2 linked regions of the Arabidopsis thaliana genome follow. The protein of the gene in region 1 interacts with the protein of each later gene in a pairwise test. Each region holds a gene or a part of one and is shown on either strand. Other genes may lie near its edges.

Evidence for each region. Proteins that work in one complex are often made in the same cells at the same time.
Region 2: the proteins of RAP2.2 (region 1) and BCAT-2 interact in a two-hybrid assay, tested with the Arabidopsis thaliana proteins (one large-scale study listed by BioGRID).

The regions. Positions count from the first base shown.
Region 1 is NC_003074.8:4,737,275-4,741,029, forward strand, and holds the start of RAP2.2 (uncharacterized protein), read right to left. Parts: upstream 1,863-3,755; 5' UTR 1,727-1,862; coding exon 1,426-1,726; intron 1,181-1,425; coding exon 342-1,180; 3' UTR 301-341; intron 199-300; 3' UTR 1-198.
Region 2 is NC_003070.9:3,286,374-3,290,128, reverse strand, and holds the start of BCAT-2 (branched-chain amino acid transaminase 2), read right to left. Parts: upstream 2,043-3,755; 5' UTR 1,875-2,042; coding exon 1,809-1,874; exon of another isoform or gene 1,699-1,808; coding exon 1,625-1,698; intron 1,528-1,624; coding exon 1,350-1,527; intron 1,269-1,349; coding exon 1,092-1,268; intron 1,010-1,091; coding exon 878-1,009; intron 801-877; coding exon 702-800; intron 627-701; coding exon 510-626; intron 448-509; coding exon 352-447; intron 274-351; coding exon 161-273; intron 80-160; coding exon 1-79. Other genes in the region: BCAT-1 (branched-chain amino acid transaminase 1), read right to left, coding at 3,292-3,406, 3,483-3,595, 3,730-3,755. UniProt on the Arabidopsis thaliana protein: Converts 2-oxo acids to branched-chain amino acids. Shows activity with L-Leu, L-Ile and L-Val as amino donors and 2-oxoglutarate as an amino acceptor, but no activity for D-isomers of Leu, Ile, Val, Asp, Glu or Ala.

The DNA.
Region 1 (3,755 bases):
TTAAATAGAAAAGAAATACAAAAATGAAAGAACAAAACAAGACTTAATAGATAGATATTATTATACCTCTATTTACTTCATCACACCTTTTTTATTTCGACAAAATTAAAAGAGAAACTCTCTATGGAAGAGAGGCTCATGAGATACCAATGCATAGAGCTTGAGGTGTGACTTGTACCATCCCCCAACAGCAAAATCCTGAAACAACCAAAAAAGAACGACAGAAGATTAATCCTGAAACCAACACTTAGGTTGTTTGTCTTTACGATTCAACAAGAAGAGCTTGTAACTGTAACTCACCAACACAGCTTTATTTACAAACTAAGGAACCATCGATCACTTCAAAAGTCTCCTTCCAGCATGAAATTGATCTCATCTAAGCTCCATAGCTCCACTGGGTTTTCCTCTTCCTGAGTCACAGCACCAGCATCTGCGCCAAGCATGGCTTCCACTTCTAGTGGGGTGTCCCACAAGGCGTTGTCAAGGTATGCCATCAGATCGTCTGACTCATCAGAGTTTGGTTTGAGCTTCTTGGCTGCATTGGTTTCTTCAACAAATGATGCTTCGTTGTTATTGACAAGCATTGAAGAGATCTCGGGTGTTTTAGGGCCGTGATCACTCCACCCGAACTCAGAACAGTCGAAGGAGTTACTGCCCTGATCGGAACTGAAATACTGGTATCCATTGTTACCTCCAGCATCGAACGAGTTTGTTAACCCAAACTGATTGTTGTACATCTGAGGCTTCTCTTCCATGAAACTCATATCACCAAAAGAGTTGTCAAAGGAGTTGTTGCAGTACTGCTGACTCAGATGTGTTGGCTGCTGAACCAAAGTTACGCTTTTGTTTGGTTTAGCCACTGATTTCTGAAGATTATTAGTCTTAGCACTAGGACGTTTCTGGGATACGACGCTAGGGTTCTTCTCCTCGGGAAAATTCACCTTAGCTTTCGTGCCACGGATTCTGCGTGCTGCAGCATCATAAGCTCTTGCTGCTTCCTCAGCAGTGTCGAATGTTCCAAGCCATTCTCGGGAGCCTTTTCTCGGATCACGGATCTCCGCAGCCCATTTTCCCCAAGGACGCTGCCTAATCCCTCGGTATTGATTCTTCCTCTTCCTCTTAGAAGATTTCTCAGCTTGCTCAGCGGACTCTACAGTTTTCTTGGCATATGCTGAACCTACTGTAGCCAAACACACACAATATCAATCATAAGCTGAATAGAACAAACAAAACTGCATCCCTTCAGGAGCTAAGGACGGTAAGCTGGTATATAATCAACATAGTAACAGCAGATGGTTACAAGACCAGTGAGATCAACCAATTCCAAAGACTAAGCTATAAACTAAGAAAAGCCTCTGAAAACCTAAAGATCTAAAAATTTCATGAGCTTTCCAATTCAAATAAAAGTTGAGATTCGAATCAAACCCAAATATATACCAGTGGAGACGAAAGCGGAAGCTACGGGCTTAGTAGTTGCGGTGAAGACGAAAGGCTTAACATTGACGAAGACATCATCATCGTCTTCGCAGTCAAAAGCCGAGTCATCCTTAAACCCTTGGAAATCAGCTTCGAAATCATCGTCAAGATCGAAGAAATCGGATCGCTTATTCGATCTCTTCTTTGAAGCTTTCACTTTGTTTTTCAGATCCGGCCAGATAAACTCGTTAGTGACGCGGAGGGACCTCGGCGGAGGTATGAAATCGGAGATTATAGCTCCTCCACACATGGTGGCTTCACGAAAGCTCTACTCTTTTTAGGGGTGTAAATGATCAGAAATAGAATCTTCGGGGCGAAATAATAAATATTCGATTCTTTGGGGTTCTCTTTTTTAGTTTTTCTTCTTTGTCTCGATGTTACTCTCCAGAAAGAATGAGAAAGGGTGGGTCGTATATTATATAGATTGATTCTTTACTATTATACCCTTACCTGTGACTCGTAATGGCTGTTATGTGTTTAAGCCTTTAAGGTGATTTGTCATGGTTTGGGTGGCTGAATATAATTTTACAGTTTAGTGCTTATTATATAATGAAAAAATGCAATAATTGGTGTAGATTCTTTTGATGTTATCACTATATATGGAAGATAATCATGCAATGAAAATATCTAATTTTCATAATCCACTAGTAGATACTAGATAATCATGCATTGAACAAATGTTCTCATAATTAGCTAGTAGACCAAACGTGTTTTACAAATATATTGAAAAGCTATGTTTTGGTATATTTGATTATTTATCAACCCTTTAAAATATGTAATATATGGTTTTATAACAAAATAAGTTAATACAAGGTAAGTTGCATCCCAATGTTGTCATATTTGACTGTCCTTAGAAATGTCAAAACTCAAAAGTAATTTCCCAACTTTTATAATTGACGCTTTTTGAACATGAAACACGTACGAACGTTCTAAAGTTAGAACTAATTATTCTTGTGGTTTTCAGTTTTGCATGGTTTATGATCTGGAAGTCCAATACAATCGTCCGTTGTGAACCTTTTAGTGTGTAACAGGGAATGATTTATGTAAAAAGATTCTACACATTTTGACAGCATAGTTTATGTCAAAGAACAAAAATTCAAGGAAAAAAGAAGAAAAATTAATACACATCTTTAGCCATTATTAGCAATGACATCTTCCACGTATTAGGCTAACATATATAGATGCTTCTAGCTAGCAGTAGAAAAAGATAAATTTTAATCCCAGATAGTTGCCAACTTTCAAGTAAGTAAACAAATCAATCATGTGTGTTAGAATCGACGAGATTTGTTGAGATTTCAAAATAAATGAACCCCATCCCTAGATGATATTATCATGGAGTGGCAATATTGGAAATACCAAAAATGAGCTCATCTATGGGCGTGTTTGTGTTACACGGAGTTCATTGAATCTTGAGACTTGGAAAAGAGATAAAAGAAAGACAAGTTGAGCAAGTGGACTCTACAAGGCTTTGCGTTGCCCGAGTCCCACCTTGTTACCACACGCTTAAGTCTTAACGCACATCTTCAAAACTAAAAGATCATCAACTATTTATTGTTAATTGCATATCAATTCTTCTAAATGAAAATTGTCCGGTGTATCTTAACATGTTTAAGATACCCGTTAATCTTCATAGTTTTTTCGAAATCATATTCCGAAGAGTTGAAGATGGATAGTAGTATACGTTTGTAGTAAATCAATGTGTATATCTACAAAAGATAAAATAATACCCCCAAAAATCCCAAAAAAGAAATAAGTAGAGAAGATAAAGTTAAGAATGCAAAAGGAGGTAGGACCATTATCCTTTGGTACGATTGAGACAAAGCTCCAAAAATAGTTGATCTCAAGAAACAGAAGATGATGTAAGTTTTGAAAGCTACCCATCCGTATCCCTGCAATTATTTTTGTTTCCGTTATTAAATGAGCTGTAGAGTATAGACAAGCAAAATTTAAAATAACGAAAATATTTAGAAAAAGTAATTAAAATGAGCACTATTTTATTATTATATCTTATGCTAGGAAAATGTAAATGAAATTATTTTGTTCATTTTTGAATGGTAGTAGGTGATCTGCATCTAATTTTAGATGGCTGTAAAAATCTAGAAAGGTTCCAATCGAATATTTCAATCTCTCAAATCTAAAGGCTTTATTTAACTCCTAATCTGGTTGTCTGCCACTACCACCAGTTAACTACACACCTGCACTACACGTATCTTCTAGTTGAGGCTATAATCGAATCATCATTCTTTAACCCAATTTTATATTACTATCTAAGAATATAC
Region 2 (3,755 bases), on another chromosome or scaffold:
AATCAATCCTGTCTGGATACCTACGAGGACTGAACGCAGTTTCTGGCAGACAGATTCATCCCCGGTTTTATACTCTACTCTGAATGTTTCAGAAAGATTACATCAGTCCATTTCTTTGCTTAAGGCTTGAGTAAAACTTGATTCAGGCATTGAGATTTACCTTTTTTCCTGATATGTGATAGTGCCCACGGGAGCAACTACTACAGCAGTTCCGGTGCAAAAAACTTCATCTGCATCCATTACTTCATCCACATGAACTGCCTTCTCTACTACCTGATCATAACTCAGGTGTGAAACTTAGCTGAGTTTAGTTTTTGGGTGTTTAGAGTGATTCAATCTTATCTGTGTTACCTGATAACCTTGATCACTTGCGATCTCCATCACACTTTTCCGCGTAATCCCTTCAAGAATTGTTCCATTAGTTGCAGGAGTTGAGATTGTCCGACCCTGAATCAATGATACAATTAGGATGCAACAAAGAGACATGGAGACACCACAATATATCTTACCTTGACAACAAAGACGTTGCAAGAAGAAGCCTCCTCTAAGTACTTCTTCTTGACAGAGTCGAGATAAAGAACGTCTGAAAACCCCCGACTCTTGGCTCTGCTCAGTGCTTTCAAAACCTACAAACACGTGGTTTATCAAAACTCTTTTTCTGACTCTGGTCTTTGAGAAACTAAGTTGGTTTCAACACTTACTGGCGCATAATTTGTGATGCTCTTGACGCCTCCAGCTCCACCAGGAGCCGCTCGGACATATTCTTCCTCAACATAGAGGTTAAGAGCAGCCATCCCTTCCTACAAATCAGTGAACAAAACATTTGCTAATCGTTCCATCGCCAAAAAGCATGGACATGCAAGAGTATTGTATATACCTTGAAGTAGTTACCAACTGGAGATGCATAGACAATGAATGTATATTCAGGTGCAGGACCTAAACCAAGTATTGGACCACTTCCCATCAACAAAGGCCTAATGTACAAAGTCCCTTTCCCTGCAGGAGGAACCTGAACAAACACATCATCACTTATCAGATCCCAAAAACAAACCTCTTCAGAAGAAATATACGTCACAAGAAAGCGTTTTTACCCAACGTTTGTTTGCAAGAGCGGTTTGTTTAACTGCATTAACAAACTGATCAACCGAAGGAGAAGGCATGAGCATCCGTTCAGCGCCAAGCTTCATCCGGATAGCGTTGTGATCCGGACGAAACAAAAGAAGCTTCCCATTTTCTTTCCTGTATGCTTTTGTACCTTCGTATATCGCCTGCAAAGAATCCCAAAACCTCTATTGATCATACAGTTGAGAAACAAATCAAGAAACATTTGGGGGTTACGAGATCCTTGCCTGTCCATAGTTTAAGACTCCAGCAGAAGGACTTAGCTGAATATTCCCATAGGGACTAAGTTCTCCTTGAGTGAATTCGCCGTCTTTTGAGCATTTCATGACATACATGTAATCAGCTGGATTTAGACCAAACCCGAGATTATCCCAATCCAAATCCGCATATACATCATCTCCATTTCTATATGATACAATTACAACAAATTTGAAACAGAGCTTTTTCCAATGGTAACAAAATATCTATATGACCTGGCTGGATCATGAAAAAGAGAACTTACTGATAAAGAGGTTTCTTACGCTCTTCTCGCAAAGCCGATGCAGCTTGTGCGTTGTACTTGGCGAAAGTTTGTAGCTATTTCATCAGGACAAAAAAAACAGAACATAAAACATGTTTGTATCTGAGATCCGAGTTATGTCTCTAAGTAAGTAATCATCATTAGATTGTAAGAATCCAGTTTATACCGTACGAATATGTAAATGAAGAGGTAGAACCAGAGTTTTGCGTAGAGATGTGATTGTTTTGATCATCTTCTTTTGCAGAGCCTCTGTTTTAATTCTCTTGATTTCAATAATAATAAAAAAAACAACAAAATAAAGAAATGAAGAGAGAATTTTGTTGAATGATATACCGAAAAAGAAGGTGGAAGAGAAAACACAAAGAAGAGTGTCAAATTAAGTATCCAACACGTAAGTGAATGCGGAGCTTATGTACAGTGTCTGCTTTTATCTTGGCAAATCGTTGAATTTGTTTTATTTTTTTTCTTATTTTTATCTTTTAGTGGTAAGAGTTCTTATCTTATTTTTGTGTTTCTTTTGCTTCGTCACTTGTGTCTATCTGCCCTGATCAGACAGATCTAGACGTGTCTTTCTGAAACTAGATTTTAACGAAATCAACGGACTATTGTTCTTTTCTCGTTCTCTTATGGGGTAAATAAATGAAGAAAATTAGTGGTGTATCTTCAAAATGGAGATTTCTATTTTTGAACTGTAAACTATTGTAAGTTGGTATAAATATCAATTTAGCAATGTTTCTTCGGCACGCAATTACCTAAAGTATACAAACAAATACTTGACGAAAAAACAAAATACAGACAAGTACTAATTTCAGTAATTTTCCATGAGATGTGAAATAGTAAACTAGTGATGTGAAAGCCACGTTGGACCAAGAGGTCTTTGTCGGATAAACAATTTTCTTTCCATGTCAATCTTTTAGACCATATTGTTGTCTTTTCAACGTCTTTGTCCGTAACTACCCAAATGGGAGATAAACACGTTGTGGAGATTGACAGCCACGTCAGTCTGAGAACTTTTCTTATCTGATAACAACGTTTTTGCTAAGATGGCTTACTAATGAATATTGATGTCCCTTTCCAGTATCGTCGTATCACTAGTGTCATCGACTATTAGTACACACTTGACGCGAGCACACTCCTTCGTTTTCTTATAAATATCTTTAAAAAAAAAAATTCAAATTATAAATATACCAAACCTAGTGGAACAATCAACGAACCTCATTTCTTTGAAAAATCTTAAATCGCATTTGTCGTGTCTTATCAAAGAATCTTAGACAGTCTTGTGTGTGGAATCTACAATATTTACAAAAAAAAAAAAGTTTCGACAAAATTGTTTTTTTTCTAAAAGCGAATATACCGCCGTAGAGTCTGGCAAATAGAATCTGAGGAGGCTGATCATACAGCAATGGTATTTTGAACCAATGGTGGCAAAATGCCACAAAGACAAACCATTAGATTACATATCCTGACCTTGAAGTTGAAGGTCTTTAGTTTTGCTTTTGTCTCTTTGGAAGAGTGAAACAAATGTTTAATACTAATACGATGTGGTGATATATCACAAATTTATGTCACAAATTTACCAAAAACTATTTCAAAAGCTTTTGATGGGTGATCAAGAGAGTGCAACATTATTTATAGGATATGAAAGTAACTTAGGCAATCTGCAAAACCCAATCTTTAGTGTCTTGGATAGAACCAGTTTGTATTCCGACAAGAATAGATCGAAGTTGCTGTGTAACAATCCCATCTCCAACTTTGTACTCAGTCCTGCAGATTATTTATCAACAGATAAATGTAAAATTCTAAGCATATGTATACATGTATCCAGAGAGGAAGAAGAGACCTTGTGTTCTTAAAAGTGATGCTTCCAACAGAAGCAACTCCAGCGGCAGTTCCAGTGCAGAAAACTTCTTCAGCTTCCTTCAGTTCTTCTACCGGAACACTTCGTTCTTCCACCTGAGTCCATTACACACTTATCAAAACTTCCATGCATCAAAAGTATTCCTATTTTGAAACAGAGTATTGCTCTGTTTTTTGACTCAAGATTGGAAACGGTGTTAGAAGAAAAAAGACGTGGAATAACTACTAACTTTGTAACCAAGATCAAGGGCGATTT